3 linked regions of the Diceros bicornis minor genome follow. The protein of the gene in region 1 interacts with the protein of each later gene in a pairwise test. Links are inferred from orthologs where the notes say so. Each region holds a gene or a part of one and is shown in the gene's direction. Other genes may lie near its edges. The genes, in order: NAB2, PHOSPHO2 and RFC5.

The links.
Region 2: the proteins of NAB2 (region 1) and PHOSPHO2 interact in binary tests that used the Homo sapiens proteins (3 or more experiments, as listed by UniProt). The two-hybrid records come from large-scale screens. The link is inferred for Diceros bicornis minor from reciprocal best matches to the Homo sapiens genes NAB2 and PHOSPHO2.
Region 3: the proteins of NAB2 (region 1) and RFC5 interact in binary tests that used the Homo sapiens proteins (3 or more experiments, as listed by UniProt). The link is inferred for Diceros bicornis minor from reciprocal best matches to the Homo sapiens genes NAB2 and RFC5.

Annotation. Positions count from the first base shown.
Region 1 is NC_080756.1:11,803,187-11,813,263, reverse strand, and holds the start of NAB2 (NGFI-A-binding protein 2), read left to right. Parts: upstream 1-6,030; 5' UTR 6,031-6,242; coding exon 6,243-6,319; intron 6,320-7,761; coding exon 7,762-8,635; intron 8,636-9,082; coding exon 9,083-9,216; intron 9,217-9,550; coding exon 9,551-9,602; intron 9,603-9,695; coding exon 9,696-9,828; intron 9,829-10,033; coding exon 10,034-10,077. UniProt on the Homo sapiens protein: Acts as a transcriptional repressor for zinc finger transcription factors EGR1 and EGR2. Isoform 2 lacks repression ability.
Region 2 is NC_080749.1:51,308,829-51,319,774, forward strand, and holds the start of PHOSPHO2 (pyridoxal phosphate phosphatase PHOSPHO2), read left to right. Parts: upstream 1-6,344; 5' UTR 6,345-6,414; exon of another isoform or gene 6,415-6,478; intron 6,479-6,924; 5' UTR 6,925-6,958; intron 6,959-8,751; 5' UTR 8,752-8,925; intron 8,926-10,696; exon of another isoform or gene 10,697-10,759; 5' UTR 10,760-10,797; intron 10,798-10,946. Other genes in the region: CFAP210 (cilia- and flagella- associated protein 210), read right to left, coding at 5,944-6,051, 6,113-6,344. UniProt on the Homo sapiens protein: Phosphatase that has high activity toward pyridoxal 5'-phosphate (PLP).
Region 3 is NC_080774.1:15,030,398-15,041,354, forward strand, and holds the start of RFC5 (replication factor C subunit 5), read left to right. Parts: upstream 1-6,116; 5' UTR 6,117-6,206; coding exon 6,207-6,277; intron 6,278-7,732; coding exon 7,733-7,797; intron 7,798-8,338; coding exon 8,339-8,475; intron 8,476-10,170; coding exon 10,171-10,250; intron 10,251-10,911; coding exon 10,912-10,957. UniProt on the Homo sapiens protein: Subunit of the replication factor C (RFC) complex which acts during elongation of primed DNA templates by DNA polymerases delta and epsilon, and is necessary for ATP-dependent loading of proliferating cell nuclear antigen (PCNA) onto primed DNA.

The DNA of each region.
Region 1 (10,077 bases):
GAAAAAAAAATTAGGTAAAAACTAAGGAAATTTGAATAAACTATAGACTTTTAGTTAATAATAATGTATTAATACTGGGTCATTAATGGTGGCAAAGGCACCATACTAATGTTAAGATAATAATAATGGAAACTGGATGTGGGGTATATGGGAACTCTTTGTATTATCTTCTCAATTTTTCTGTAAATCTAAAACTTTTAAAAAATGATTTGTGTATGTGTATTGTCAACACAAATAATCCATAATCAACCTATAAATCAAAATTGGGGTGAAGTTTATTATGAGCCAAGTTTGAAGACTATAGCCCAGGGCCTTCCTTCCCCAAGGAAGAAAGGGCACCAAAGAAGTGGGGTGTACAGAGTGGTTATATACTGTCTTGGAACAAAGCATACATCACATTTGGCAGGAATATCTCTTTTACTTCTGTCAGGAGATGCTTAGCTGGCACAGCAGGTCAGTGGTCAGCAGGTCAGTGGTCACAAGGTGAGCACAGCAGGTCGGTAATTAATCCTTAGTTCCCAGGAAGAGATGCTTATTCTTAAAGAAATGGTGATATGGGGGGAAGCTACATCCCTATCTTTAGGGGCATCATTCTTGTCTTTGGGGCATAGTAAATGTTTAAAACAGATATACAATGTATATTCAACAAGACATGTCAGGCCCTTTTGGAAAAACAAGATCAGGCTGAATTAGTTTTAAACCAAATGGCTTCCTCATATACTCCAATATATCCCATTGCTTTTCATTTATTTATCAGTATATACACATACACACACACATTTTCTACCAGGCCCCAAATTCTCACCATTCAGAGCTCGCTCTTTGGTTGTGAATAAAGGCCAGAGAACAGGAGAACTAATTCCAGGTTTGGAAACTAATTCCAGAAGATCACTGGCTGTTAAAATATGTAAACGAGGTATAGATAATAAGACTGGCTGTCCCATTAAACTTTACCATCCAAATGAGTTCTGTCACTTCGAGATAGTCACTCAAGAAGCTTTTAGCCTTGTTTTAATAACGAGGACACTGCTCAAAACACTTTGAGAATCATCTTCAGAGTCTATAGCACACACTGCAATGAATATTCATTATCTGCAGGTGGCTCTGATTTATGCAAATAGCCAAAGAACTCAGGCCAAGACTGATGAGTAAATAGGGTGGGAAATCTGGATATAAATGTTTCAGAATTTTTTTGGATTTTAGAAACATATACGGTGCATATACATATACAATACATAAGGCAACAGTCCCAGTGGGGTCTGGGACAGCAACCGTAATCAAACAAATTAATATTTCTGCAATGAGATATATGAATATTCACATTGGGATAAACAAAAGTGGGATAAATGAAACTATAAATAATGAAAGTTTAGGAGGTCTGCCACAAAATAAGTTCAGGTCAGATTAGGTTTTGTTGTCAAATGAGTTATGAAAAACTTTTGGTTTTCATTCGTTTTAATTTAGGAAAAGGATTACAGATGGTGAATATTTAATGAAGACACTCCATGTACTCAGTCACTCAAGCTAGAAGTCCAGGAGTCACCCTAAGCTCTTCTCTTCCCCCAACCCCTCAGCCAATCATCACGTCCTATTGATTTTACTTTCTGACTACCTTTTGAATCTATCCTCTCCTCTCCATCCCATGCCAGACATTTAGTCTAGCACCTTGCCATATCTCACTTGGGCCACTTTAGTTTCCTTCAAGCTGGCCTCCCTGCTGTTTTTTGCAGCCATAAACCCCTTCCTCCACACTATAGTAAATGCAGACCTGGCCATGTCACTCCCAGGTTATAAAGCCTTTATGGTTCCCCAAAAATCTCCTGTGATGAAGTCCAAGGTCTTTAGTATGATCTAAAACATAGATGTAAAGAAACAACTACAACAGCGCTATTCAAAGTTTATTACCAATCTGCAATGAAACAATTTCAGAAATTTAAGTGTAAACATTTAGAAACTTTTACAGCAATTTGACAAAAATATTTATTGAATCTAATAAAAATAGGGATTTTATTTCATTGTTCGATAATTCACTTTTAGTGTATTTTATAGAAGTATAGACTATAGACTGGAAATTTTTTTTAATTGGTCCTTTCTTATAGTTTGAGAAGCACTAGTCTATAATATCCTTAATTCAATGGCCTTGTCCACTTCCCTGGGCTCGTTTTTAACTACTGCCACCCCCCATCCAGCAATAATGAACAATTTCTAGTTTCTCAAAGATATCGTTCTGTTTCATACCTCCATGTAAGTTTATATTCTGCTGACTTGACTGTCCCTTCCTCCTGGAAATCTCCTATCCATACTCCAAAATCCTAGGCTGCAACATTACAGTCCCTCACAACCCCGTACAGAAGACATCACTTGTCCCCTATACTTCGGTCAGTGTTTGTACCCTTATTATTGTCCTACGTTGTAATTATTTGTTTATATGTCTATCTCCCCTACTAGTCTATGAGTTCCTTAAAGGCAGAAGTTAGGATTATCAGTCTTTGAGGGGTGAAGCATCACCCCTTGTAAAATGACTAAATTGAATGACAATGTTCCTTAGATTATAATTCTTACATGTTACTAAAAGAGGAAAAAAGGATCATTACTTTATATTCATATATTTCTGTTTCTAGCAAGGATTTCAGCCGTCTACCTTTAGTACCTGAGTATGAATTAATTTATCAGAAGAGTGGACATTTTAGAAGGGCAAGGAGCCAGACCTGTGAGACTGGAAACTTGAAGAAGGAAGGAGGCATGGAAAAATACCTCCACTTACACAGTTTTGCCCAGGTTCAGCCCCTTTTGAGTAAAATCTGTCAATTGCCCTTTTCAAAGTTGCTCAGGCCTGGAAATAGCATCATCAACTCATTAATTTCAGAGGGCCCACGAGACACCAGACCTACCCTGGAGAGGTCCTGGGCTGAGGGCGAAACAAGCAACTATGCGTTATTGAAATGTGTACAAAGAACCGTGAGGCAACTGAAGGATGGGAGCAATTAATTCTGCCTAGAGGGGTGCAGGCAGCACAGCGTGCAGGCAGGAGAGGGTCCAGGAAGGTGATATTGGAGCCAGAGCTTGCTGAGTGAGCTGGATTAGGCCTGGTGAAAACCTGGGGGGGGTGCGGGGGGGGGGGGTGAGCAGTGCAATCTGCTAGATGAAAAGCTACCCGTGCCTAGGAATCACAATCCTTCTGGTTAGCAGTTTCCTCACTCCTCTTCCACCCACTTTCTTCACAATCTTTTCCCCTGTTCTTGGAAAACTGGGACTCAGGATACTGTTTCCCTTCCTGGAAGAGACCAGTGTAGGCAATAAACCTTTGATGAAACGGATCCGTTGCTCTGCTCTGCGTGCCCCTGACCTCACTGAGGTGGGCGGACAGCAGGTGAGTCTCCTAAGAAAGTGGTCCTAACCTATACTGGAGGGAATGGGAACCATGAAGAAAAGGAGAGGAAATTAAGATTTTTGTATTCGTCCCACCCCTACTGTCATCCCCCCACCCCGCCCCCAACCTGTCTCTTATCTTTGTGTTTTTCTACAGTTTCTCATGGTCTCCGTGTCTTCGTCTCAGTCTCTCTCCATTTGCTAAAAGCTGGAAATTCCTTGTTCTCAACGGAAGGGAGTAGGAGGGGACTTGGGGGTGGTAGGAGTGGGAGGGAAGCGAAGAACAGACATCTCAGCAGCTGCGGGGGCGCTCTCGGCCTCTGGCGGGGCTTGACAAGTCAATGATTTTTTAAATGTATGTATTTTTAAATCCACACATAGGAGCTCACATACAAACCTAAAGCAAGACGGAGACACAGATACACAAGTAGATTTAAAGACATATAAATACATAATCTCAGGGTACAGAGGCACAAACTGGCAATAGCGTCTTCAATTTGCTTAGAATTTTCCAATTTACAGAGTTTTCGTATACATCCTCTCATCTGAACCTCAACCCTGAGAAACAGGGATACAAACACTAGGGAGTTTCACTCACACACACAGGTTCGCACTCAGAAAAATCCCTTCTGACTCCCCTAGGGGAGTGGGCAGAAACAGTCCGCGGGATTTTTCTCCCCTCTTCCCTCTCTGGCCGAATACCCGCCCTAGAACCGAGGAGTGGAAGCCCCAGAATCGGCCCCTCCCTCGTCATCTTTCCTGGGCCGGGACCCAGGCGCTCGGCGCCTAGTTGGTTACCGCCCCCCTGCTTCACGCCCTACTCCGCCCTCTTCCCGGGCCTGCGTCTCTCTCCGGACCCAGGGGCTCAGCGCTGCCCCACGGGGGTCTGGGTGGGAGGGAGGGGGGCGCCTGGAGCACAGGCTGCGTGGGCGAAGGATGTGCGTCACGGGGAGCGTGGGCAGGAGGAGGGAGGAGGCACGTGGAAACCCGGGCCAGCGGCTGGCAACCCAGGCTCCAAAATAACCAGAGGGGAGTGGGGGAGGGGGTGCCCACACATATCGGAGGGGATCTGGGAGTGAGCCCGTCTAGCCGTGCCCTCCAGTTGGACAACAGGGGATTGAAAGGGGGCACTCGGCGCGTTCCTATCACCCTCCACTGTGCTTGAGGCTTAATGGGATGGAGAAGAGAATCTTAGCTACCTAAATCCCCCTATGTGGTGCACCCGTCCCCGCCCCCCCCCCCCCCGTGACGGAAAGGTCCCCTCGCCCGGCTGGAATGTAGAACCAGCCCCGCCCACGCCACCCACGCCCTGCCGGGCCCGGGCCACTCAGACGTGCGGAATGGCGGGGCGGGGCTGGGGTGTCGGACTTGGGGGAACCTTGCTTCTGGCCAGTCCGCTCGCTTCCAGTCGGCCCTCTCCCCCACCTCCTTTCCCCGGGGCCTAAAGCCACTGGGACGGGCCCTCAGAGCCCCCGCCTGTCCCCACCCTCTAGCCCTCCCAGCCGTGGGCGGGAGTGTAATGGGAACCAGATGGGGCTAGGAGAAACAAAGGGGGGAGGGGTAGTGGGTGGCGGCGACGGGGGGCGCGGTGGCCAGGCTCCTTGAAGGAGCGCCTCCCTCCAACTCCTCCGTATGGAGCCACGTCGGACGCTCCCGGCCTCCTGCCCATCGTCCACTAGACTCTCTCGGGCAAAGTCCCCTAATAAGACGTCCCCAAAAGGGGAGCCTCCTTATCCCAGCTTTCCCACACAGAATTCCCCAGGAGCAGGTCCCCACTCTCAGCAAATAGGGTGCGACGAGTAGAGGAAGGCGGATACCCCTCCCATCCCTGCCTGGCCTAATCGCTAACAAACCCCGACGCGCCTCATCAGCGTGCGTCTAAGTGGTAGCTTTTAGCATAACCCGCCCAATCCTGTTCCCCGAACTTCGGCGTGGACTCGAGGCAGAGATGGAGGCGGCCTGGATTTCCGAGAACTGGCCTTTCCAAACTATTCTTTTTGGGGCTGGGATATCTGAGGGATTCCCGCAGAGCCCCACGCTCACAGACCAGCCATAAGTGCCCACTCTATGGGAGTCAGATGCACGCACGGGAGGAGCCGCGCACCCGTCTCCGCCAACTTTTCCCGGCTCACTCCTAACATTCCCACGTACAGCCCGCGAGGCCTGAGTATGGGCAGCGGGCGTCCGCGTAGTTGTTGATGCGCGTGTGCACGTCCGTGCGCTTCTCTGTGTCTTTGTGTACCTGTGCGTGGTTGTGAAACTCCACTTGGAGGGGTAGGGGTGGTGGGGGGAGTAGGAATGTCGCCGGCTGGGCGCTCACGTGGTTACGTGGGCGCGGAGAGGGCCGGCTGTGCATCCGGCGTGGGCGGCACGGAGCGACCTCGCCCCGCCCGCTGGGTCCCCAAGCCCGCCTTCCACAGCCTGGCCTCGTTCACCCCAGTCCCCAACTCGGCGCCCCGGCTCCGCGTCCCCGCCCCCGCCTCCTGCTCCACACCCCCTCCCCCCAGTCTCCGCCTCTCGCCGTCTCAGCCGCGGCGTCTCCCCGGCCGGCCGAGAGGCCCGGGCGCCCGCCCCCCGCCCCCGGCCCCCGCCCCCGGCTCTGCCCACGCCCTCCGCCCGCCCGGCAGCCAGCGCAGCGCCGGGCCTCGCTCCCCGTGCGTCCTGCGGGGGCGGAGGCGCGGAGAGGCGGCAAGCGCAGCCGGGGAGGGGGGGGCAGAGGCACAGACAGAGGCGCGGAGGCTCGCAGAGAGGAGACGTGGAGGCAGGGACGGAGCCCGGACAGCGGTGGACACGGCATCGCGCGCCGGGAGGAGCGCAGCGCGCACCAGGCGCCGGGCACCGAGAGGGGCGGCCCCGGTGGTCTCCAGCCTTCCATGCACAGAGCGCCCTCCCCCGCAGCCGAGCCAGGCGGAGGGGACAGCGCCCGCCGGACCCCGCAGCCCAGACTCAAGTTAGTGGGCAAAGGGAGACGGCGGAGAGTGGAGATGGGTGGAGCTGGACTCGGGAAAGGGGTCTGGAGGGCGGAGGTCGAGGAGAGGACCAGGGGAAGCGGGACGGGGGTGGGAGGTGGAGACTGATGGAAAAGGGGGTGCGTCTTCGAATTCGGGGCCCTGGGAGCAGGCAGGGATCTGATGAAGCTGGATATGAAAGAATAGTACCTCATTCTCCATCCCCCGTTTACTCTGTGGGTATGACCTAGCATGTGAGCTGAGCCCCCTGCAAAGAACGTGGGGGCTCCCCAGCGCCAGGGGAAGCCCTGGAGCTCTAGCTGGCAGCAGTGCCGGGGAGGGCCACTCAGCTGGCTCAGTCTGTCGTTGGCACGGAGCGCGCGGGCCGGGGTCCGGGAGAAGCCGGCGCCTCTGAGCCAAGAGAGCATCAGCGGGGCCGTGGAGAAGCAGGGGATGCCTTAGGTGTTCCTTCCCATTTCTGTGCGTTTATTTGCAGCCTGGGGAGGGGAGTTTCGGTCTGCAGCCCCTCCCGCAGTAAGTTTTGAGCCATTCCCCCACTCCACTTGAAAATGCAGATGGAAAATGAAGAGAGGAGGGTGGGCGGGAGCCCCCGGGCGGTTTTCGCCCACAGACGCCAACACCGTGGGAGTGAGTGTGGGCAGAACGGGCCCCAGAGCAGAACAATTGAGGCACTCCTCCCCTCCCCCGGGCGGAGCTCCACTGAGCAGGTGGGGAAGGTCACTGCTGGGAGAAGGGCCAACTGAGGGGCACTGGGCAGTCTGGAAGGGAGGGGCGAGGTCCCCAGGGAGAGAGCAAGAGTGCGCTAAGAATGCCTAATTCGTGAGAAAAGCTGAGGGGAGGGGAGCAGGGGTGCACCCTCACTGAGTGGGAAAGGGCAGAGAAAGGGCCACACACCCCCCTTTCAACCACAGGGTCAGGATGCCACCAGAGAGTGAAGCTGGCCAGCAGTGGTCCCAGGTGTCCACTGTGGAGAGGACAGGGGTCCTGCATTCACCTTAGTGTGGGACGTCACCTTGAGTAAGGTTGAGACTGCTGGGTGTTGAGCGTGGAAGATGAGAACTATGTTCTGCAGGAGAGTGCGGTCCAGCCTTCACAGGGGTGTGCTGGCTGGCCTCAGGGCTCAAGGTCTCCTTGCCCCAGGCCAGAAAAGTAAAAGCTGAGGATGGGGATCAAGAGCCTTTGATTTCTGCAGAGACTGGGCCGGTTTTTGGTCCTTCTGGCCAGTCGGATGGCACTGGCACGTCTGTGCCTCTGGGCAGTGCCTGATTCTCAGACTGCTCAGGCCTGGGCGCTGGGCAGAGACAGCATTCAAGAGAGAGGGCAGAGAAGCAGGCAGGAAAGAGGATAATTGTGAGTGTGGGTTGGTACGGAGCAGGGGGCCTTGCACTGACTGCCCCCCCCTTCTTGTGCACCTCCTTCTCAGGCCCAGTGCCCGAGCCATGGCACTGCCTCGGACGCTGGGGGAGCTGCAGCTGTACCGGGTTCTGCAGCGCGCCAATCTGCTTTCCTACTACGAGACCTTCATCCAGCAGGGAGGGGACGACGTGCAGCAACTGTGCGAGGCGGGTGAGGAGGAGTTCCTGGAGATCATGGCACTCGTGGGCATGGCCACCAAGCCCCTCCACGTTCGACGCTTGCAGAAGGCACTGAGAGAGTGGGCCACCAATCCAGGGCTCTTCAGCCAACCAGTGCCTGCTGTGCCTGTTTCCAGCATCCCACTCTTCAAGATCTCTGAGACTGCGGGCACCCGGAAAGGGAGCATGAGCAATGGGCACGGCAGCCCAGGAGAAAAGGCGGGCAGTGCCCGCAGTTTTAGTCCCAAGAGCCCCCTTGAACTTGGAGAGAAGCTGTCACCACTGCCTGGGGGACCTGGGGCAGGGGACCCCCGGATCTGGCCAGGCCGGAGCACCCCTGAGTCCGACGTTGGGGCGGGAGGCGAAGAGGAGGCTAGCTCACCCCCCTTCTCCCCACCTGCAGGGGGAGGAGTCCCTGAGGGGACTGGGGCTGGGGGGCTGGCAGCAGCTGGGGCTGGGGCTGGTCCAGATCGACTGGAGCCAGAGATGGTACGCATGGTGGTGGAGAGTGTGGAGAGGATCTTCCGGAGTTTCCCGAGGGGGGATGCTGGGGAGGTCACGTCCCTGCTGAAGCTGAACAAGAAGCTGGCGCGGAGCGTAGGGCACATCTTTGAGATGGACGACAATGACAGCCAGAAGGAGGAGGAAATCCGCAAGTACAGCATCATCTATGGCCGCTTCGACTCCAAGCGGCGCGAGGGCAAGCAGCTCAGCCTGCATGAGGTAAGGACCCCAGCCTGCCAGGATTGCCCTTAGCTCCCAGGCCTCAGTCTGCTCACTCTGAGAATCTTCACACTCCCCAAGTCCATTTCATTGTTCCTTGACCAGGACCCCAGGCTCTGATCCCCTCCCCCACACACCCCTTCCCCAGCCACTATAGTGCTGTCCTCTTCAGCTGAGGGGGAAGCAGAGACACAGACAGCAGCCCAGCTGTCCAGCTCCGTGCTGCTCAAGACCCCACAGGAGTCGAGGAGGCCCCTGGCATTCCTAGGAAGCTGTGGGTGCTGATCTCTTGTCTTTCTGCCTCACAAAGCTCCTGTGTAGTGTGAAAACCCAAGCTAGGATCTGATGGATGGGCCTCATTTGTCTGATGGTGAAGGGGTGTGAGGAGGTCTGAGCCAGGCAGTGGGGGAGTTGGGAATCTGACTGCTCTGATGGCTCTCTCCACAGCTAACCATCAATGAGGCTGCTGCCCAGTTCTGCATGAGGGACAACACGCTTTTACTGCGGAGGGTGGAGCTCTTCTCCCTGTCGCGCCAAGTGGCCCGAGAGAGCACCTACCTGTCCTCCTTGAAGGGCTCCAGGTGAGACCCCCTTTTCCAGGTCTTTCCTAGATGAGAATCCTGCCAAGGAGCAGGTCACGTTCTGACCTCTAGTCCAGGTGCCTGCTTCCCACCCACCTGCATGTCCTCCCTTTGGCCAAGTCCACTTGTCTGAGGTCTGGCCCCTCTTCCTCTCCATCTCAGGTCCCCTCTGACCCGCCCCTGCCACAGCAGTAGTACCTGAGCTGGAGACTCCTGCGCAGCCAGTTTCTTTCCAGAGCCTTGAAATGATGCATGCCCTTCCCCAGATTCTGTGCCCTGCCTATCATGTGTCCCTCTCCAGCCTCATCCTCCTTATTCCTCTCCATCTTTGCAGACTCCACCCAGAAGAATTGGGAGGCCCCCCACTGAAGAAGCTGAAACAGGAGGTAGGTTTTCCAGGGCGCGTGTAGTGGGTTAGGGCGGCTTCCCCAACGCCGTCCCTTGCCAGGTCCTCATTTCCCCATTCGGGGCATCCGCAGGTTGGAGAGCAAAGTCACTCTGAAATCCAGCAGCCTCCCCCAGGCCCCGAGTCCTATGCACCCCCATACCGCCCCAGCCTGGAGGAAGACAGTGCCAGCCTTTCTGGGGAGAGTCTAGATGGACACTTGCAGGGTGAGTGTGCAAAAGAACACTTCTGTCCTCACTGGGGGGCGGAGGGGGTGGGAGGAGGGAGCCAGGAGGCAACTGCCTGGAACAGGGATGGGAGGCCTGGCTGGATGGGAGCAAAAGGGCCTGGGCCTATGGGTCTGCCTATGCGGTTGAGGGTGGGGGTTCCCTTGACGGTAGTCCCTTACCTGACCCGTGCCCATGCCCACAGCTGTGGGGTCATGCCCAAGGCTGACGCCGCCCCCTGCTGACCTG
Region 2 (10,946 bases), on another chromosome or scaffold:
CCTAGGCAACATTTGTCTTTTTTTTTTTTTTGGCCATCCTAGCGGGTATGAAGTGGTAAACTGTGGTTTTGCTTTGCATTTCCCTGATGGCTAGTGATACTGACCATCTTTTCATGTGCTTAGTGGCCATTTGCATACGTTCTTTAGAGAAATGTCAGTTCAAATAATTTGTCGATTTTTAAAACGGGTTGTCTTTTTATTATTAAGTTCTAAGAGTTTTTTATAATCTGGATACTAGACCCTTATCAGATATACGATTTGCAAATATTTTCTCCCATTCTGTGGGTCATCTTTGTACTTTCTTGATAATATCCTTTGATACACAATGGTTTTTAATTTTGATGAAGGCCAAATCTATTTTTTTGGGGGGGCTGATTGTGTTTTTTGATGTCATATTTAAGAATTTGTTGCCAAACCCAAGGTCACAAAGATTTACATCTAAGTATTCTTCTAAGAGTTTTATAGTTTTAGCTTTTATATTTAGGTCTACGATCCACTTTGAGTTAATATTTGGATATGGTGTGAGGCAGGGGATCCAACTTCATTCTTTTGCATATGGATATCCAGTTATCCCAACACCATTTGTTGAAAAGACTATTCTTTCCTCATTGCGTTGTCTTGGCACCCTTGTCAAAATCAATTTACTATAGATGTATAGGCTTATTTCATTATTTCTATTCTATTAGTCTATATGTTTATCCTACGCCTGTACCAAACTGTCTTGAGGGCTGTAGCTTTGTAGTAAGTTTGATATTGGCAAGTGTGAGTCCTTCTATTTAGTTCTTCAGATCAAGATTGTTTTGGCTATTCTGGGTCCCTTGCATTTCTATGAGTTTTAGAATCATTTGCCAATTTCCACAAAGAAGCCAGGCAGATTTTAATAGAGATGGCATTGAATCTGTAGATCAGTTTGGGGATTACCACCATCTTAACAACATTAAGTCTCCCAATTAATTAACATGGGATGTCTTTCTATTTATTTAAATCTTTAACTTATTTCAATAATGTTTTGCTATTTTTCAGAGTGTAAGTTTTGCTCATTCCTTTTTCTTAGAAAGAAAAATTTATTCCTAAGTATTTTTGATGCTATTGTATATGGAATTGTTTTCTTAATTTCGTTATCAGATTGTTCATTGCAAGTGTATAGAAACAGAATTGAATTTTGTATGTTGATCATGTATCCTTCAATGTTACTGAACTTTTTTATTAGTTCTAATAGTTGTTTAGTGGATTTTTTTTAGGATTATCCACATAAAATATCATGTCATCTGTGAATATGCATAGTTCTACTTCTTTCTATCCAATCTGGATGCCTTTTGTTTTGCTTGCTTAATTGTCCTGTCTAGAATGTCCAGTACAATGTTAAATAAAAGTGGTGAATATGAGGGGCCAGCCTGGTGGCGCAAGCGGTTAAGTGCGCGCGCTCCGCTGTGGCGGCCTGGGGTTCGCCGGTTCGGATCCCAGGAGCGCAACGACGCACCACTTGTCAAGCCATGCTGTGGCGGCGTCCCATATAAAGTGGAGGAAGATGGGCATGGATGTTAGCCCAGGGCCAGTCTTCCTCAGCAAAAAAAGAGGAGGATTGGCAGATGTTAGCACGAGGCTGATCTTCCTCACACACACACAAAAAAAGTGGTGAAGGTGGGCATCCTTTTCTTGTTCCTGATCTTCAGGGGAAAGTTTTCAGACTTTCACGATTAAGTATGGTGTTGGCTGTGGGTTTTTTATAGATGTCCTTTATTAGGTTAAGAAAATTCCCTTCTATCCATAATTTGTTGTTTTTATCATAAATGGATGTGTATTTTCCAAATGTTTTTTCTGTGTCTATTAAGATGATCATGTGGTTTTGTCCTTTATTCTATTGATATAGAGCATTCAACTATTTTTCAGATGTTAAACCAACCTTGCATTCCTAGGATAAATCCCACTTGGTCATGGTGTATAATTCTTTTTACATTTTGCTAGATTTGGTTTGCTGGTATTTCGTTGAGAATTTCTGCATCTATATTCATAAGGGTATTGGTCTGTAGTTTTCTTTTCTTGTGATATCTTTAATGTTGGTATTAGAGTAATATTGGTCTCAATGAATGAGTTGGGAAGTGTTCCCTTCTCTTCTAATTTTTTTTTTTTTTGAAGAGTTTGTGAATGATTGCTGTTAATACCCCATTAAACTTTTAGCAGAATTCACCAGTGAAGCCGTCTGATTCTGGGTTTTTCTTTGTGGGAAGTTTTTCAATTACTAATTCAATCTCTTGTTAGAGGTCCATTCAAACTTTGTATTTCTTCTGGAGTCAGTTTGAGTAGTTTGTGTCACTTCAGGAATTTTCCCATCTCATCTAGGTTAACTAATTTTTTGGCATACAATTGTTCATAATGTTCCCTCATAATCCTTTTTATTTCTGTAAAGTCAGTAGTGATGTCCCCTCTTTCATTGCTACTTTTAATAATTTGAGTCTTCTCTTTTTCTTAGTCCACCTAATAGTTTGTCAATTTTGTTGATCTTTCCAAATAACCAGTTTCAAGTTGACTGATTTTCTCCACTGCCTTTCTATCCTCTAATTCATGTTTCCTCTCTAATCTTTGTTATTTCCTTCCTTTGCTTGCTTTAGGTTTTCTTTGTTCCTTTTTTAGTTTCTTAACATGTAATGTTAGGTTATTGATTTGAGATCTTTCCCTTTTTTAAAAAAAATACATTGTGATCGTTAATTTTATGTGTCAAGTTGGCTAGACTCTGGTCACCAGTTGTTTGGTCAAACAGTAGTCTAGAAATTGCAGTAAAGGTATTTTTTAGATGCCATTAGTATTTACAATCAATTGGCTTTAAGTAAAGCATAGGCATACCTTGGAGATAATGTGGGTTCAGTTCCAGACTACCGCAATAAAGCAAATATCACAATAAAGTGAGTCACACCAATTTTTTGATTCCCCAGTACATATAAAAGTTATGTTTACACTCTACTGTAGTCTATTAAGTGTGCAATAGCATTATGTTTACAAAAAATGTACATACCTTAATTTAAAAATACTTTATTGCTAAAAAATGCTAACCATCATCTAAGCCTTTAGTGGCTCATCATCTTTTTGCTGGTAGAGTGTCTTGTAAAAAACGCAATATCTGCAAAGTGCAATAAAACGAGGTATGCCTATAGATTACTCTTCATAATGTGGGTGGGCCTCATCCAGTCAGTTGAAGGCCTTAAAAACAAAGGCTGAGGTTTTCCAAAGAAGGAATTTTGCCTCCAGATTGCAACACAGAAATTCTGCCTGAGTTTTCAGCCTTCAGACTCAAGACTGCAACATCAACTCCCCTGAATTTCTAGCCTGCAGCTTGCTCTATGGATTTCTGACTTGCCAGACTCCATAATCAAATAAACAAATTCCCTAAAATCAATCTCAGTCTCTCTCTCTCCCTCCCCCCATATATACATATATATAAATAAAAATACATAAATATACACATAAATATACATAAATAAACCATCCTATTGATTCTATGCCTCTGGAGAACCCCAACTAATACATACATGTATTTACAGTTTCCCTGTAAGCACTGCTTTAGTTGCACCTAAAATGTTGGTATATTGCGTATGCATATCATTCATCTCAAAGTATTTTCTAATTTCCCTTGTGATTTCTTCTTTTTTAAAAAAATTTCATTTATTTATTTTAATTAAGGTACATTTGACATATAACATTATATTAGTTTTAGGCATACAACATAATGATTTATGTAAACATTGTGAAACAATCACCAGGATAAGTCTAGTTAACGTCTGTTACCTTTTATAATTACAAAAAATTTTTTTCTTGTGATGAGGACTTTTAAGATCTACTTGCAGCAACTTTCAAATATGCAATACAGTATAATTAACTACAGTCACCATGCTGTACAGTACACCCCCAGGACTTACTTATTTTATAACTGGAAGTTTGTACCTTTTGACTCCCTTCAGCTCATTTCTCCCACCCTCACCCCCTACCTCTGGCAACCACCAACCTGTTCTCTGTATCTATAAGTTTGGTTTTTTTTCTTTTTAGATTCCACATATAAGTGAGATCATATGTTATTTGTCTTTCTCTGACTTATTTCACTTAGCATATTGTCCTCAGGCAGCTGTGATGTTAAAAAATTGCCACTGATTGTTTCAATAAACATACCTGGTGATTTCTGAGTGAGGTCAAATAACGATAAGCCTTGCAAGTAGGTTTTCCAGGGAACTGCCAGATAGGTCAAATAATAACAGTTATCTGGGAAACGGGCTTTGGAGGGGGTCCAACCCTGTTCTGTCCCCTCCACAGGTTGCTAAGCCACTGGATTTCACTGTGATTGTAGTGGTTTTCTAGATTACCATGGGGCTGGGAGACAAGTATGGGACTGGGGCAAGTTAAAATGCCAAAAATTCACTGCTGTTACCAAGATTCGGCTACTTTATTTGATAAACATTCCCAACTGTTGCAAGCTTTTGTTTAATTTCCTGAGTTCTCAAAAAGTTGATTTTGACAATTTTTGCCAGTCTCTTTCTGATTTAATGGAGGAGAGGACTTCTGGAGACCTGTATTCCACCATTTGGGCTGATGTCACTTCACTAAATCTTTAGATAATTATATGTTTTACAGACAGCTGTCTATATATCTGGACTCCTCTCCTACTTCACCTTCTTGCAAATGGAAATTATAACTCAGCAGTGAGGCTCAGATGGAAACTTGTGGACCAACTGCCACAAAACATTATTTAACACCTATCAGGTAAATCTAAGCCTTTTATGGGGCCTGCCCTTCACCTAATGGTTAGGTTCAGTGTGCTCTGCTTCCTCAGCCCAGGTTCAGTTCCTGGTGCAGACCTATATCACTCGTCAGTGGCCATGCTGTGGCGGTGACCCACATACAAAATAGAGGAAGACTGGCACAGATGTTAGCTCAGGGCGAATCTTCCTCAAGCAAAAAGAGGAAGAGTGGCAACAGATGTTAGCTCAGGGCCAATCTTCCTCACAAAACAAAGAAACAAATAAAAAATAAATACAATAAAATAAAATTTAAAAATCTAAGTCTTTTAGTGCAGACTGCACAGACAGGTAAGTACTGCATAGACAGGAAAGTGAATATGTGGCAGTAATTCTGTTTTTTCAATACATGCCACATGGGTACTGTCTCTCTCCCACATGTCATGACCCTCTGCTACTACTTCCTAAGTCCTCCACCGCATGAACACCCACTAGTGTCCATTGGTGGGATAATGTCTGGCTTTCACTCTGCATCTGGCACAAGGGGCACTACTGATAAAGAAGCTCAGTCAGAGACACAAAGATAGTCCAAATTCCCAAGGTTCTAGTCGTCACCATGACATTAATTGGGAATTTACAGACTTAAGAAATTAAAATCACTGCAATTGATAAAGAGCTCTTTAGATGCCCCACTAGGCTACTTCTATTCCAAAATCAAAGTTTTGTATCAGGTCATCTGAATTACAATACCTTAAGTAGCATTATTTTTTACACTCTATCAAAGCATTAGCCTTAGGGTGAGACCTTACCTTCACTTTAGAAATGAGGAAATTGAGACATTTCCTTCAGAGACTTTCCTAAGAGCACTCAGCAGGTTCACAGCAGAGCCAAGACTCTAATGAGGTCACTGATATTTCCAAAAGTTATTCCCATTCATCTAATGAATAACAAAGCTTAAGAGCGAGAAAATTCAGCCAACACCAGACTCTCGGAGCTGGTTAATTGAGAGTCTCTGACTTATCTTTTCTCCACCCCTGTTTCTGTAAACTTTTCCCATCTACCTATTCACCTGAGGGCAAAGCTGTCTGATTTACGTAGAGCCCAACATGCACGGAGCTGCTTTCGACTTGGTGGAGCCCATTTCCGAAGGTAACCAAAGCCCTCGCTTGGCACCTCGCCTCTCACCCCACGCCCTGTGCCGGGACGGGCCCGTTTAGCTCGCCTGTGCTTTCCTTCGCCTGTCCACAGCGCCTTCCGAACCGCACCAACATCTCTGACGAGGTGCCCACGGCGCTCTCAGAAAAGCGACTCCGACGTGGAGCACAGCGGGCTCAAAGGCGCAGAGTGTTTGCCACACCCCGCAGTTACTTGGCAACGCCGCCGGAAGTGACGGCAGCCGTCGCCGAGGAACGAAGAACGCGCTGCTCTCGGCCGTAGGGTTGGAGAACGGAGGCTGCGCCTGCGCAGGACCCCGAGGCCCGGCGTGCGAGTAGGGTTGCCCTCGCGGGCAGGCGCCGGGGCGAAACCGGAAGACAGAGTAGGCAGGAGTGGCGCGGAGGCCAGCCGGCCTGGGTCCCTGAGGAGCCCTGGGCACCCGAACCGGCCTGCTGCTGCCGTCCTCATCCAACGCTGGCCTCACGGGGGACGACCCCCAACGAGGTCCCTGCACCTACCTTCGGGGCGGACCCGGCAGGTGTGTGGGAGAGCGAGGCCCAGGCTTGGTGTGTGCGGCCCACAGACCTCCTCGCGCGTGGAAGGTGAAGGGCAAAGCCCTCGTTAACTATAGAAACCCATAGATTAACTGACAGAAAACCTGTTTGAAAATACTTGGGTTTCTAAGGCATGGCCTGAGCTAGATGGGGCTTAGTTTTTTAAAAACAGGAATGTTAAAAACTTGGTTGTCCCAGAACATTCATGTTAGGACTTTTAAGATACTTTAAATTGCTTGGTAAATACATTATAGTAAATTGTATTTGGGAGACCAGTCAGACCTCTAAGGACAGAAAAATCTGTTAAGAGTGGATGCAGGCTTGGTTTCAAAGAATCCTTTTCTAACACATTGAGGTACAAATGATTTCATTACAAGCTAGTTGGCTAGGACATGGCACCAAATTGGAGTTGCTCAAAATGAAAGGAAGTTTAGATTTTTAATCACTAAAGTGATTTTTAATCATTAATACATAGTTGTACTGTTTTTCTTCAGGTTTTCTGTCAGATGTTCCACCGTAATAATGCTGGTAAGTATGAAAGGATTAATAAAATATTTGTTGACAGAAATTAGTTTTTGCACGTACAACATTGGTGGCACTGTGGAAGCATAGTTTTAAAAATATCCAGAACTGGGATGAGTCAGCGATTTTACCCCAGTTGCAAGCTAACAGTTTAGTCTGCCACAGTTTTGTAGACGACACAGACCCCTAGGTCAGAGATGAATTACAGCAGTAGCAGTAGCCAGAATATCAGCAATTTTGCCCCAGTTCCCACAGGATGATGCAAAGAGTGCCAGAAGTGACCTGCACGTGGAGTGTGTTGCATTACAGGACAGGAACCTGAGCTTAAGGGACTCAAATCTTTATTATAATGGACGATAAGCATGCCTTTCAGGCTGTTCACTATACATACATTTTTGAGACAATAATCCAGAGCAAATGGCAGTGACTGCCTTGCTTGTAAGACATACAGAACCACTAGAAACCCATGGGGAATTACCTCCTAACAAAAATTCTTTGGAATTTTAACTAAATTGGTTATGAAAAATATTAACTCTTATAAGATTTGATGTCAGTAATTTGCCAGTTTGACATGGTGGTCAGATATCATTTGATTTCCAACACCTGGTTCTAACTCTAACCTATGTTTCTTTACAGCCACACCATCTAGAGTTAGTTATTTATCCTTCCACAACCTCTACTCCTTTTTTTTTTTCTGTGTTGTGCAATTAAGAAGGTGGCATATGCACTTTGATCTGAAACAGAGTTTAAATTATTCTGGGGAAGGGCCTGGCCCCGTGGTGTAGTGGTTAAGTTCGGCAAGCTCTGCTTCGGCTCTTGGGTTCAGGTTCGGATCTCGGGCGCTGACCTACACCACTCATCAGCCATGCTGTGGCAGCAACCCACATATAAAGTGGAGGAAGACTGGCACAGATGTTAACTCAGGGCTAATCTTCCTCAAGCAAAAAAAATATATATATAGAAGATTGGCAACAGATATTAGCTCAGGGCTAATCTTCTAAAGCAAAAAAAAAAAAAAATTATTCTGGGGAAAATATTTTTATTACAAAATCAGTGTAGAAAAAAAATGCACTACAATTGAACCACCCATGATCCTACCACTGTAGAAATTTATTTTTTAAAAGCAGAAATGGGATTATACTGTACACACTGTTTTGTGACTTGCTTGTTTAATTTGAACTGGACATCTTAGCTTTTACTGGCTAAATAAATATTCCATTATATAGCTCTCACATACATGTCTTATTTAACCAATCCCCAAATCTTGGATGTCTATCAAGTTTCTAGTTTACATTATTGTAAAAAGCACATATGCTATTGTTAGACTATGGAAACATTGCAGACATACCAAATATATACTGCTTGTGCTTTTGGAGAGAATAGTTAATAACTATTTTGAAATTTTAACAAACTGGTTTCAAAATAGATTCATATTCTTAAAATTAAATCTTTATGCACATCCTTAATTTTTGGAGACATTTTTATTTCAAGTATAGCACTAAATATTTGAAAGTTTATTGACAACAGAAGGTGGTATTTGTCTATTATTTAACAAGTAAAAAGAAAAATGGAATCTGGAAATCTCGACATAATCAGCCTAACACTTGTGATTTTATCCACTGGACAAAAACTTACATTCACGTAACATTCCCTGTTTTGTATTTAAGCTTTTTGTTTAATCAAAATTTTGTGTGTCCCATTGCCAGTAAGTGCTTTTCTGATGTAAGAGAAAATATAATTTTCTACATAATTACAAAACATAAATCTTAAAATATCTTAAATACTTCTATTAATTTTAGGAGTTAAGAAGTCTCTATTCCTTTGCTCCAAACCAGAAGACTTTGTTCCCTGATACAGAGTAGGAGCAATGTTGGTTAGAAACTGGCTGGTGTTTAAAACTGAAGACTGTCATGACTATTTAACCTAGGCTCTATGCTGAAGTAAGATTAATTGTCTTGGAAATACTAAGTTGGGTAAGTATTCTTAATAAAAGCTTATGTTGAGGGGTGAGAAAAAACTAATAGAAAAAGATCTGAAATTAAGAAATGTACACTTTTAGATAGAAATTAATAGTCAACAGTGGAACTATGTTAACTTCTGGCTTACAACATTTCTCATTATTTTGAGATTCATAGTTCAGGAATTTCAGTAAATTGTGGTTAATTAAATCTAGGCTTGAGGTAGTTTCAGTCACCAGAGTTACATTTGAAATTTTTTTTTAAAATTATGTATAAATTCAGAATGCTAAAAAAAGCATGTTTAATTTAAAATGTGCCTAGGTACAGTACTAATATGATTGTCAACTATGCCTTATTGCTGTTTATTATATTGTTTCTATGGGAAAGTGAATTCTGCACTTAAATCTTTGGGAGCCAGCCAGAAACACCTGGATTAGACATTTAGAGGTACAAGGATCCAGAGCATCAAAATATTATAGACTGTCTAAATTCACACAACATGAGATTCACACAACATGAGATACTCTCTCGGTTAGTTGTTCTCCAGAGATTCTCAACTGAGAGACTCAGAATACTTGCCTTTATATGAGTCATGAGCTCTATTCTCAATTTCATCTACTGGATATCTGTTGTTACAAACCAGAGAATACATGTGGTTAAATGCCATGTTTTCCATTTTTAATTGATTTCTTTTCTTATTGGTAGGGTTCTTCACTTTTTTTTTAGGATTTCTTGCTAAATGCTCACAATAGGTATAAAGTAGATCACAGATGTGGTATTATGGTTAGTGTGTACTTTAAGACTAATAAATGTTTTCATGTAATGAAACATCTTTTCGTCAAAATGACCTTAGTATTTTATTTTTAAACTGATTAATAGTCTTTAAATATTCTATTTCTTAGGCTCTAGAGCGTGATACTTAAAAGCATGAACTTTGGAGTCAAGCAGACCTGAGTCCAAATTCCAGCTCTGCCACTTAACTAATACTTAACCACTTTAATCCTTAAGCTCCAGTTTACGTATCTTTAAGATGAGAATAATAATTCCTACTTAATAGAGTTATGACAGTTAGATGATGAGATTGTAAAGTTCTTAGTCCAGTGCCTGTGTATAGTGATAGCTCTAAAAATATTAATTACTCTTTTTAAAAAAATTTTTTTGTTTACACACACAAATTGTAGCTTTTTCTGGGTATTCTGTATAATTATCTTTTTTACGTGATAACTTTCGTCCATACCATCTGTTGACTAGTTTATTCTTGCCTTTTCTCTTGAGATTTATAATTAACGACCTTCATTATCTTTTAATGAAAGCAGAGATTTAAGTAATTGTCATATCATAAGTAATGTGATTACTCACATATGTCCAGATTATTGGGCACTCCAGAGCTAAACTATCTAGCGAAAATATAAATAAATGTGAAAATTGTTTAAAAAAAACTTACTTCTAGTCTGGAAAAATTGAATTGACCTCCAGTTCAAGTAATTTTTTTAGAATTTCAAGTACAACATTAAGCAACCATTTAGTTATGACATTGGCATTGATGATTTCAAGCTTAAACATCTTTTTAGAAAAATCATTTAAATTTGCAAGATTTCATGTTATGTTAAATTTGGTCAGAATTTTCATTAGTACACACCAGAGAATCTTTATTACACATGACTTGTTATTTAATATGAGGATTATTGTAAATATTTTAAATGAATAAGTTTGTGTGTGATAATTTACAGATGATAAGAATGATTAGCCTACATTTGTTTTCTGCCTTATAACTTTTCTAAATTAGATTGTAAGAGAATAATTGTTCCATTACTTCTCTCATTGGATTGCTCTATGGTTTAATTCTGAGTGCTCAAAGAATCATCCCCACAGGAACACAATAATACTGTGAGTATCCTTTTTAGATATTCTGTTTTCCATTCACTTAAAATACTCAAATATGAACTTTGCTTCTTAGGAAAAAGTGCTTAAATGGTGGTCTTAAAATGCTTAATCATTTTAGCTTGTTTATATTCACCCTTTGTTTTAGCAGATTA
Region 3 (10,957 bases), on another chromosome or scaffold:
GAACTTTGAGACCTGGAGTTGAATTATCAAAATGCTAGGCCCTTAGAGAGGAGGAGGTGGGAATGTTGTGTGAGAGACGAGTGGCCCAACTCCCTGAAGAATTCCACACTAGAGATGCAGAACAGGGGTGAGGAGCAAGATGCTGGGATAGAGAGACATTCTGTGGTATTGAGGGCTTATCAACTGAAATGTGCAGTCGAATTGCCTGGAGACCTTGTTAAAATGCTGTTCTGATTCAGGAGGTCTGGAGTGGGTCCAGAGACTCTGCATTTCTAACAAGTTCCCAAGTAGCAGGGACCATGCTATTGGTCCCTGGACCTCACTTTAAGTAGTCGGGGGTGAGGAGGAGTAGGTGGAAGAACGTGGAACGAGGGCCACACAGAAGTCTAAGCCTCAAACTTTGTGGCACTGGGAGCCATGACAGAAGTTCTGGGTGGCTGAGTTGTACACTGAGAAAAGGACGCTATTATCAACAGAGCTGCCCATCTTCAAAGGGATCATGTCAGTCTGTACAAAGAGCATCTACTCCCACAGAAGGAACTGAAGACTAAAAGCCCTTCCCCACATTTGCTGGCCTATTTCCCCGCAAACTCTTAGGCTTCTTTCTTTTTCTTTTCTTTTTTTGAGGAAGATTGGCCCTGCACTAACATCTATTACTAGTCTTCCTCTTTTTTTTTTTCTTTTTTCTTCCCAAAGACCCAGTACATAGTTGTGTATCATAGTTGTAGAATCGCAGCTCTTCTATGTGGGACGCCTCCTCAGCAGGGCTTGATGAGTGGTGAGTGGGTCCACGCCCAGGATCCGAACCGGCGAACCCCGGGCCTCCAAAGTGGAATGCAAGAACCTAACCGCTACGCCACCGGGCCGGCCCCTTAGGCTTCTTGAATGATCCTACGGAAGGGAAGGAACTCAACTCCCAACCCTCAATAGATTGAGTTTCCAAACTACTTTGGCTTGAAGAAGGAATGGTGGAGGACCTTGAGCCAGATATATTTAATTTAGAAAAATTAAGAAACGTGAGGGCCAGCCCCGTGGCTTAGCGGTTAAGCGCGCGCGCTCCGCTGCTGGCGGCCCGGGTCGGATCCGGGCGCGCACCGATGCACCGCGGCCACGTCCCACATACAGCAACTAGAAGGATGTGCAACTATGACGTACAACTATCTACTGGGGCTTTGGGGGGAAAATAAATAAATAAAAAAGATTAAAAAAAAAAAAAAGAAACGTGAAATTTTTTGAGCCCAAGTGTCATGGAGCAAATTCATATGAGTTAGCCTTTGAATCTGAAACTTAAAGAGAATCAGATTCAAGAACTGATAAATAACCATTCATTAGTTATTTAATCAACAAATGTGAAGGGATGATGAATGGATTTCCCTAAGCCCCGATGCGGGGCATTTTTGGGATTCTGACAAAAGAAAGTGTTTGAAGGGGAGAAGTACCCCAAAAGATCTGGAGATTTAAATTCCTTATCAGTCAATGATTTTGCCATGGCCACCAAAGAAGATGGCCCTTTCCCTTATAAACACTCTTCAAGTTGCCCTTTGAGATTTTTCTCCTCCTTCACATGCTTGCTCTTCATTTAAACATGATTTCACCAGTATAAACACGTTCAGGAGAAAGACCCAGTCTGATTTTCTTCTGCCAGCATCTTCCAAAGATAGCCTCACATCCCATTCTCTCATAAGAACAAGTCTTAAAAATAAACGAAGGCAGTAAGTGCTGTGTCCAAAGCCAAGTTTGTTCCAAAGCTGAGAGTAATAAAATCCAGGGCTCCCCTTCCCTAATTCAATTTTAAGATCCAATGCCTTTTGTTGGTAATTTTGTCTGTAACCTCTGATCCTGCCATCTTCAAGACCTGATGTTTTATTAAAGCATTTCCAAATCTGGTTCGGACTGTATAAGAAAAGTTTGTGCCTGCGCTCATCAATGTCACAAGTCACAAGGAAATGCCAGCTTGATTTGTCCTCAATCCTCCAGAAGGGCTAAAATCCAGGCAGAAGATGAGGATAACAAGGAATTATTACATCTTTTGCCTGATCATCTGTCCTTGAGAAATCAAGTCATAAAGTGATCCTACCGTGATCACTTGGCCAGGAGTTTTTTAAATTAGTTGCCATTGTTTAACATACAGGAATTGCACATAAAAATCCAAATTTCTGGTTTCTCTTGAAAAATCAGAAGATCTGGCAACATTTGGCTACTGTCCCTTCTGATTGAACACTCTTGTAGTGGACATGTGTGATCCTTTCGGCTGTCAGCATCTGAGCCCCCATCCTAAGTTTAGGGATGTCCCAGGTCACAAGTCCTGGTGGGAGGAAGACGTCATTTCCCACCATTCAAGCTGTAGACTGGTACGCGCTAGCAGGTGACCCAGGCCTGGCCAATTAGGCATGCTCTTAATGGAGCACTAGTTTTAGGAAGAATCCAGTACAGGAGAGAACTGGCAAATTCCTTCTCACAGTAGAAACGGTGAAACCAACACTCGGTTTCTAGGAGTAGTAGCACGGAAAGGTCGGCAGCAGCAGTTTCCTTACTGGATGGTTCCATGGAGTAATTCTGACCATGGTTTCAGTTCCATGGCCTGTCTTTGTCCCATTTTCCAAACCAGGTTCTCCAGCCTTCCTACTAATTATGAGCTATCCAATATTTCGTCGCTACATTCCTTTTCTGCTTAAATCTTCCATCTACAAACTCCGCCCCCTCGAGGCAGGGCATAATTTCCACCGAACCCTCTTCCTTTATATATTAACTTTCAGACTATTTATAGACATATGAGCCTGTAACTCCAGGCTTTATCTCTCGCTTTCTCTTTAAAGTAACAGAACTTTGGCACTGGGAGAGAAGCTAAGGACCATCTAGCGCAAGGCTCTGCAAAGTAACGAGAAAAGCGTCCCAGAGGCGCCTCCCCCCCACCATTACCCCTCACATCTCATTGGGCAGAACTGGGTCACATGCTCACCCTTTAAGCCAATCAGGGGACTAGGGTTGCTGTGATTGGCTTCGTCCAGGACAGTAGTTAAACTTTCGCTGAATGTTAGAATCACCTGGGAAGCTTTTTAAAATGCCAGTGCCCGGTCCCACCCCACAGGCCAAATTTAATTTGTCTGGCTGGACTTCTGGCATTGGACTTGTTTAAAATCCTCAGGTGCTTTTAATGCCATCCCTCTCTCTAGTCAAGCCCCGTGCCCCTGCCCATTTTAGAAGTGCCAATACTGAGGTCCAAAGAGATATTAAGTAACTTGCCCAAAGGACTATACCTTCAATTAATAGCAAAAACAGAAACAAACAAAACCACACGCATACAAATGACATTTAATAGGACACCTTTGTTTTTCCAGAAAAATGCATGTGAGTATCCTTTCTTTTTCTTAGAAAGTGAAGTCATAGGGAGCTCACGGATTGAGAAGCAGTAGAGGGTAGGACAGTGGTTCTCAAACTTGAGCGCATCAGAATCCCCTGGAGGGCTTGTTACAACACAGATGACTGGGCCCACCCCCAGAGTTTCAGATTCAATGGGTTTGGGGTGGGGAGAAGAATAATTAACATTTCTAACAAGTTCCCAGGGGCTGCTGCTGCTGGTGCAGGGACCACACTAGCACTGGGCTAAGAGCTTGGGCTATAGAATCACACTGTCTTGATAAGATCCAGTTCTGTCCCTTACACCAAGTCAGAATGTGGGCAAGTTACCTAATATATCTATGAAATGGGGCCAGTGATATAGCTTGGAACTATCGCAACAATTGAGTGAGTATAATAAATGTAAAGGACTTACAACAGTGTCTGGCCCATAGTAGCTGCCTAATGAATAGTAGCTATTATCATTCACTCATTCATGGAAGACTTATTGAGTGCTTCCTTTGAGCCAGGCAGTATTCCAGACACCAGGAGTCCAGTGGTGAATAAGTGAAAGCCTCACCTCTCAATGAGGTTACAGTCCGTGGGGGAGGCACACAATAGACGAACTTGTAAATATATAATATAATGTCCCACAGAAGAATTCTGCATTGCCCGCAAACTGAACAGCAGGTGCACACAGAGTTTTATGAGAACTTGGTCCAGTCTGTTCATATCTTCTAGCTCAAGGAGGTGGCAACATCATGTTTCTAATGCAAAGGCCCCTTAGCAGGATGGCTCTTACCAGGGTAGTTGAATAAAGCCCAGGTAATGGCATTTTTAGTCAGGGTTCTCCAGAGAAACAGAACCAATAGAATATATAGATACACAAAATTTATATTTATACTTATATTTATGTAGATTTTAAAATATATTTTATATTATGTATTATACAATAAATATATATTATATTAATAATATATTTATATAATAAATATATATTTAATATTTTTAATATATTTTATATATTCATATTTGTATAGATATTTATATAAGGTGTATATATCATAGGAATTGGCTCACGGAATTATGGAGGCTGAGCAGTCCCATGATCTGCCATCTTCAAGCTGAAGACCCAGGAAAGCTGGTGGTATAATTCAGTCTGAATCCAGATGACTGGAAATCAAGAGTGCCGATGTTCGATGTTCAAAGGCAGGAGAAGATGGATGTCTCAGCTCCAAAAGGGAGCAAATTCACCCTTCCTCTGCCTTTTTGTTCTATTCAGGACCTCAATGGATTGGATGGTGCCCACCGGCATTGATGAGGGGGATCTCCTTTGCTCGGTCTACCAATTCAAATGCCAATCTCTTCCAGAAAGACCCTTAGGGACACACCTCCAAAAATAATATTTTACCATCTCTCTGGGCATCCCTTAGCCCGGTCAAGTTGACACATAAAATTAACCCTCACAGGCATAGTCACACCAGCCAATTCTTTAGATTTTGTTTGGGAGGGAACATTTGGAACAAGAACAGGATGGTGGAGAGTATGTTCGAAGGGAAGGAGAGAGTGAGGTGGCAGTGCATTGGAAGCTTTACGTATGTTATTTCATTTCATCCTCACAACCATCTTGGAGCAGATGTTATTGGATGAGGAGAGAAGTAACCCGCCCAAGGCTGGGGGGGGGGGGGGGAAGAGGCATGCTAAGGATCTGAAAAACGAGTGTCGGAGTTGGCCTGGGAGGAAGCAGAGAATAGGGCACTGTCATACCACAAGCCACATCTCACCTCCTTCTTCTCGGTCCCCAGGCAGGGGCTAGGGTGAAGCCATAACTGCCCTCATGTATTTCCCCAGTGTCCCTCTACTCTGTTCCTAAAGCAGGTGACAGTGATAATAATAAGACGCAAGGAGCTGCGACTTCTGAATCAGAACACTTCTGACCCCAAGGCAGCCTCATCTCCTCCCAGTATTGTTGTCTTTCCCAACATGTTAAAAAACAAAAACAAAAACTTTATTATGGATGTAACACACACTCATTGCCGGGAAACACAGATCAGCCAAATAGGAGAAAATAAAGTGGTCTATAATCCCCTCACCTCAGAAAAACACTAGGATTTTGAGACCGATGCTCCTCAGTATCTTCAGATCCGAGGGACGCGTCCTCTGTGCTTATTAACTAGCGCTTTCCGGTTACCGTATTAACCTAACTGGAAGTTTATTTTTTGTTTTCACTCTGGAGTTGTTTCTGGAGGATGGTTCTCTACATTTTGTTGGGTGAGGGACGCGGATTTGGGAGACGGATTGGAGTTGCGTTTGTTTGGAGTTGTTTTTGAATTCGAATTACTACCAGGTTGGGGGCCAAAAGGTATTGTGAGCCTTTTCTTCAAACGGGCATCCATCTTCAAGTATTGGCCGTGTCATTTGGGGTTGTTTTTTCCTAAGGATTCTTTAGCGCTGGCAGCTTTCTGTTCCTTTGAACGGTGTTTGAACTTTGGTGATGGCTGGACTGGGCTTCGGCCGTGAGACTTTAATTTGTGATGACTGGCGGCTGCAGGGGGTGGCCTCGCCTCGCCCCCTCTCCCTGGGCTCGGGAAGCCCCTTGGCGCGGCAGAGAGGGCAGCACCGGCTAGAAGGGCGGAGCCGGAGGGAGGGTGGCGGCCGGCGCCTCCCGGTAACCTGGCAACCTGCGCCTTAGCAACGGAAAGGGGGCGGGACCAAGGGAGGAAGTCGGAAGCAGGCGGCTAACTCTCGCGAGAGTTACGTTTGCGCGCGAACTCTGTTAGGGTCCCTGCGCTGGATCGCGCTGGTCGCTGAGCAGGTCCCTTGGGGGTCGCGACGACCCCAGCGGACCTGGTCACCCTCGTCTCCCCGCCATGGAGACCTCCGTACACAAGCAGCAGCAGCAGCAGCAGCCCGCGGCGGCCAAGATCAGGAACCTGCCCTGGTAGGAGGCCCGGCTGCCGGGAAAGGGGCTGGGCCGCGCGGGGAGGCGGTGGCCCAGCTGGGCAAGTGGCCGGGCCCGCTGCCCCCGGACCTGCGGCCGGGGCGGAGCCACAGAGGTTCATCTCGACACCCCACCCCGCTCCGTTCTATTTAGGACTTTTGCCGGGTTCCCCACCCACCGATTCCTTTGCCCGAAGAGGAAAGCGGCTTTCGCACGCATCTGCACAAGGGGTCGATCCCGCGTCTTTTGACATTGCATTGGCCTCTGTGCCAAAACGTCATTCCCTCTTGCCAAAATCTTAAGTAAAATAATGATGATAATAATAATAACGCTCCCTAGTTAACTTATTTAAACGGCTTTCTATTAGATTAGCAGGCACCCTATTAGATGTTTGATCTTTACAAAGACCATGGGAGGTAGATACTGTCATTATTCCAGTTTTACACTTGAGGAAACTGTGTCTTAAAGATTAAATGCCTTGGCTGAGGTCCAGAGCTAGAAAATAGGCTTGGGTTTGAACCCAGGAGGTCTGGATTCAGAGCTTGCACTCTTAACCATCCTACTTCCATAGCTATCCTAGTGATGCTTTAAAGACTTGGATGGGATTTGGCTTGCTGTCGGAAAACTCCAAGTTGTTCTTGTCTAATAACGAGTTCAGTTTGTTTTTATCGTGGTTAAAACACATAACATACAATTTACAGTTGTAACCATTTTAAAGTGTACAATTCAATTGCATAAAGTTGTGCAACCATCCCAATATCTCAATTTCAAAAATTTTCATCATCCCAAATGGAAACCCCATACCCATTGACAGTCACTCCCCATTCCTCCCTCCCTTAGCGCCTCCTGGCAACCACTAATCTGCTTTCTGTCTCTATGGATTTGCCTATTCTGGACGTTTCCTATAAATTGAATCATATAATATATGGCCTTTTGTAACTAACTGGCTTCTTTGACTCAGCATAATGTTTTCACTGTCCATCATATGGATATACTACCATTTATTTATTCATTCATCTGTTGATGTATATTTGGGTACAAGTTCAATTTTGAATTCACTTTGAAATAATAGTTGCCCATCCAGGTTGAGATTATAGGCAGACAGCTGGAAAGGTGAAATTAGAAATTACTGACATTTTGGGCCAGATACTTTGTCGGGGGGAGGGCATCGGGGCTGTCCTGTGCATTGTAGGATGTTTAGCAACGTCCCTGGGGCCTATCCACTAGATGCCAGGAGCATCCACCCAGTTGTGACAATGGAAAATGTCTCTAGATATTGCCAAATGTTCCCTGGAGGATAAAATCACCCCTGGTTGAGAACCACTGGTTTAAATTCAAACCTAAAGGGTTTTATTCCTCTTCCTCTTTTAGTGAGGATATGAAAGGATTCTTTTGCACATACCAAAATGTTCTTTAATTTATGTATGTTGTAATCCTTGCTAAATTGTATTTTAGGGTTGAGAAATACCGGCCGCAGACACTGAATGATCTTATTTCTCATCAGGACATTTTGAGTACCAGTAAGTATCCAGGTGACAGCTGCTGTTATTCTAGCCGAAGGACCTGTATACATTTCCTGGTGATGTTGTCTCTACTGAGTAATAACTGTGAAGAATCTGATTGAGCTTTATGGAATGTGGCTTTAAAACTTGAGTCCTTAAGGGGCTGGCCTGTGGCGCAGCGGTTAAGTTCGTGTGTCACATTCCCCTTGGCGGCTGGCATTGCTGGTTCGGATCCTGGGCGCGGACCTACTCACTGCTCATCAAGCCATGCTGAGGCAGCGTCCCACATAGAGAGAGCTACAACTCGACAACTGTGATATACAACTATGTACTGGGGCTTTGGGGAGAAAAAAGAAAAAGAGGAAAGTTGGCAACAGATGTTAGAGCAGGGCCAATCTTCCTCAAAAGAAAAGAATTGAGTGCTTCCCATTTTTCATTCCTGCACCTGCCTCTGGTTTGAACATAGGGCTGAAGTGCATTCAGCCCAACTCGTAGGGCCCACAGTGAATGAGGCAACTCGCAGAGACTGACGGTGTTTCTTTTTCTTCCCAATCCTCAGTTCACAAATTTATCAGTGAAGATCGGCTGCCGCACCTGCTTCTCTATGGTCCTCCAGGGACAGGAAAGACGTCCACCATCCTAGCCTGTGCTAAACAGCTGTACAAAGAGAAAGAATTCGGCTCCATGGTCTTAGAGGTAAATAACAAGATTATTCTTAGTCTATCAAGGACGCCAGCCTCTTACTTTTAGTTCTGCTAGTTTCCTTTTACTTTAAAAGTCATTTGCCCTACTGGCAGTTGGGAAAGAAGCAGACATAACATAAGATATTTCAGTTCACTTTTTTCTATAATTGTCTGGATTGGCATTAGCGACAGGGCAGTTGTAGGGCTAGGCTTTGTTTTTTATTTTTCTTTTTTTTGCTGTTGCCACCTTTTACCCAAACACTTGGTGGTCTGTCAGTTGCTGGCTGTTTCCCATGTGCGCCTCCCGGTAGCTTCTCCACGTCTCTCCGCCCTGTCCTTGCCCCGGGCAGCTGAGCTGTGTTGACTACAAGCTCCCTTGCCCGCTGGCTCCTGGTTGGGTTTGGCCAGTAGAGGCCTTGGCAGGGGTCAGGGGAAGGAGACTAATGCCGGGTCCTGCCCTGGGGGTCACTACAGGCTGGCGGCATCCCCACCTGCAGGGCGCATCACACAGCCCTCCCCAGGTGCCAATATCAGTCCTGCCCCTGACCCCATAAGACCTGGGGGTGGTAATGGGCCCCAGTAGTCCCTGAGGTATCACATAGCCCTTGTGGTTTCCCCACACCCCACCAACACCTTTTAAAATATCTCTTCCTGGGCCGGCCTGATGGCATAGTGGTTAAGTTCAGTTGCTCCGCTTCGGCAGCTGGGGGTTCGCAGGTTCGGATCCCAGTCGCGCACCAACGCACCGCTTGTCAAGCCATGCTGTGGCGGCGTCTCACGTAAAGTAGAGGAAGATGGGCGCAGATGTTAGCCCAGGGCCAGTCTTCCTCAGCAAAAAGAGGAGGATTGGCATCGGATGTTACCTCAAGGCTAATCTTCCTCACACAAAAAAATAAATAAAATGAAATATCTCTGCCTTTAATTCTCTCCAAATTACTTAATTTGGTTAGGCCATCTGTTTACTTCTGGGACCTCGACTGATACACTTAGATTACAAAATTCTAAAGATTGTCTCGCAAGAAAAAAAAGTTTAACTTATTTTTTTCATATAGACCTTAGAATCTTGCTGCCACCAACATTCTTACTTCCATGTCTTAAAAACTTGGTAACTTCCGGGTTGCTCTGGGTTGTGGTAGCTAAAGTTAGCATCATTCTCATACCAGAGGTGCTGTTCAGTGTGACCAGGCCAATTAATTATTCCTTCAGTTTATGTCAGTGATTGTCCTCAAAAGGGGGAGAAAAAAAAAGTTGTTTGCCTTCTAGAATGTTATGTAATGGTCTAGTGAGTTATGAGTTTTAAATATAATTGTGATCTTTTTTTTTGTGTGTGTGTGAGGAAGATCGGCCCTGAGCTAACATCTGCCAATCCTCCTCTTTTTTGCTGAGGAAGACTGGCCCTGGGCTAACATCCATGCCCATCTTCCTCTACTTTATATGGGACGCCGCCACAGCATGGCTGGACAAGTGGTGCGTCGGTGCACGCCCGGGATCCGAACTGGCGGCCCTGGCCGCCACAGCAGAGCCCGCGCACTTAACCGCTTGCGCCACGGGGCCGGCCCCTGTTTTTTTTTAATAGTGATTATCTGTTAGCTGTCATTAAACCTAGAGACCTAGCTTACTGAGCTAGATTGATGAAAGGATACATTAATACGTAGATAGCACACCAACATGTTTTTTATTTATTCTGGCTTCTCTCTCCCACATTTAGCTGAATGCTTCAGATGACCGAGGAATCGATATCGTTCGGGGACCAGTCCTGAGCTTTGCTAGCACAAGGACAATATTTAAGTAAGAATTATTTGCATAATTTCTCTCCCTAGAGATTTTGATCATGAGCTGGATAGACCTTTTTTTAATCCTCCCCTTTGCCAGTTAAAGGTAAAAAAAAAAAATAACTTTGTCAAAAGCAGCCATGAAAAAGAAATAAATTGCAGGGAAGGTAGTAAGAAATACTAAAATGTAAGTATTAAAATAAGATATTATCTAAACCTATATTAGCAAGTTCTTTGGGGAAGCATTAATTTCATTTTATTAGTTAACTGAGGACTGATTACAGTCTAAGACTGGATGAGCTAGTTTGAATTTAAACAAAAATGAATTGAGATTGGGACAGATAATTAGGACGGTGGGGGAAAAAAAGAAAGAAAAAGATGAAAAAGGCATGAGGGAAGGTGATGGAAAAAAGCAGCACTGAGTAATAGGCTACTATGCAGAAGAAAAATGAAGGTGCCTGAGGATACAGCGTAACAAAAATACAGAAGTTAGACTTCAGTTCCCTTTAAGAGTTGAAGGAGTGATGGGGTGTCTCCTGTCTGGGTGACCACACATGTCTGCTTTGGTCAAAGTTACAGGCGAAATGGACTTTATGAGACAGGGCCTGATGGTAGGTGTGCCTGGAAGTTGAAGTGAGAGGGAAGAAATTTTGAGATGGTACTGTTCTTTTTCCTAGGAAAGGCTTTAAACTAGTGATCTTGGATGAAGCTGATGCCATGACT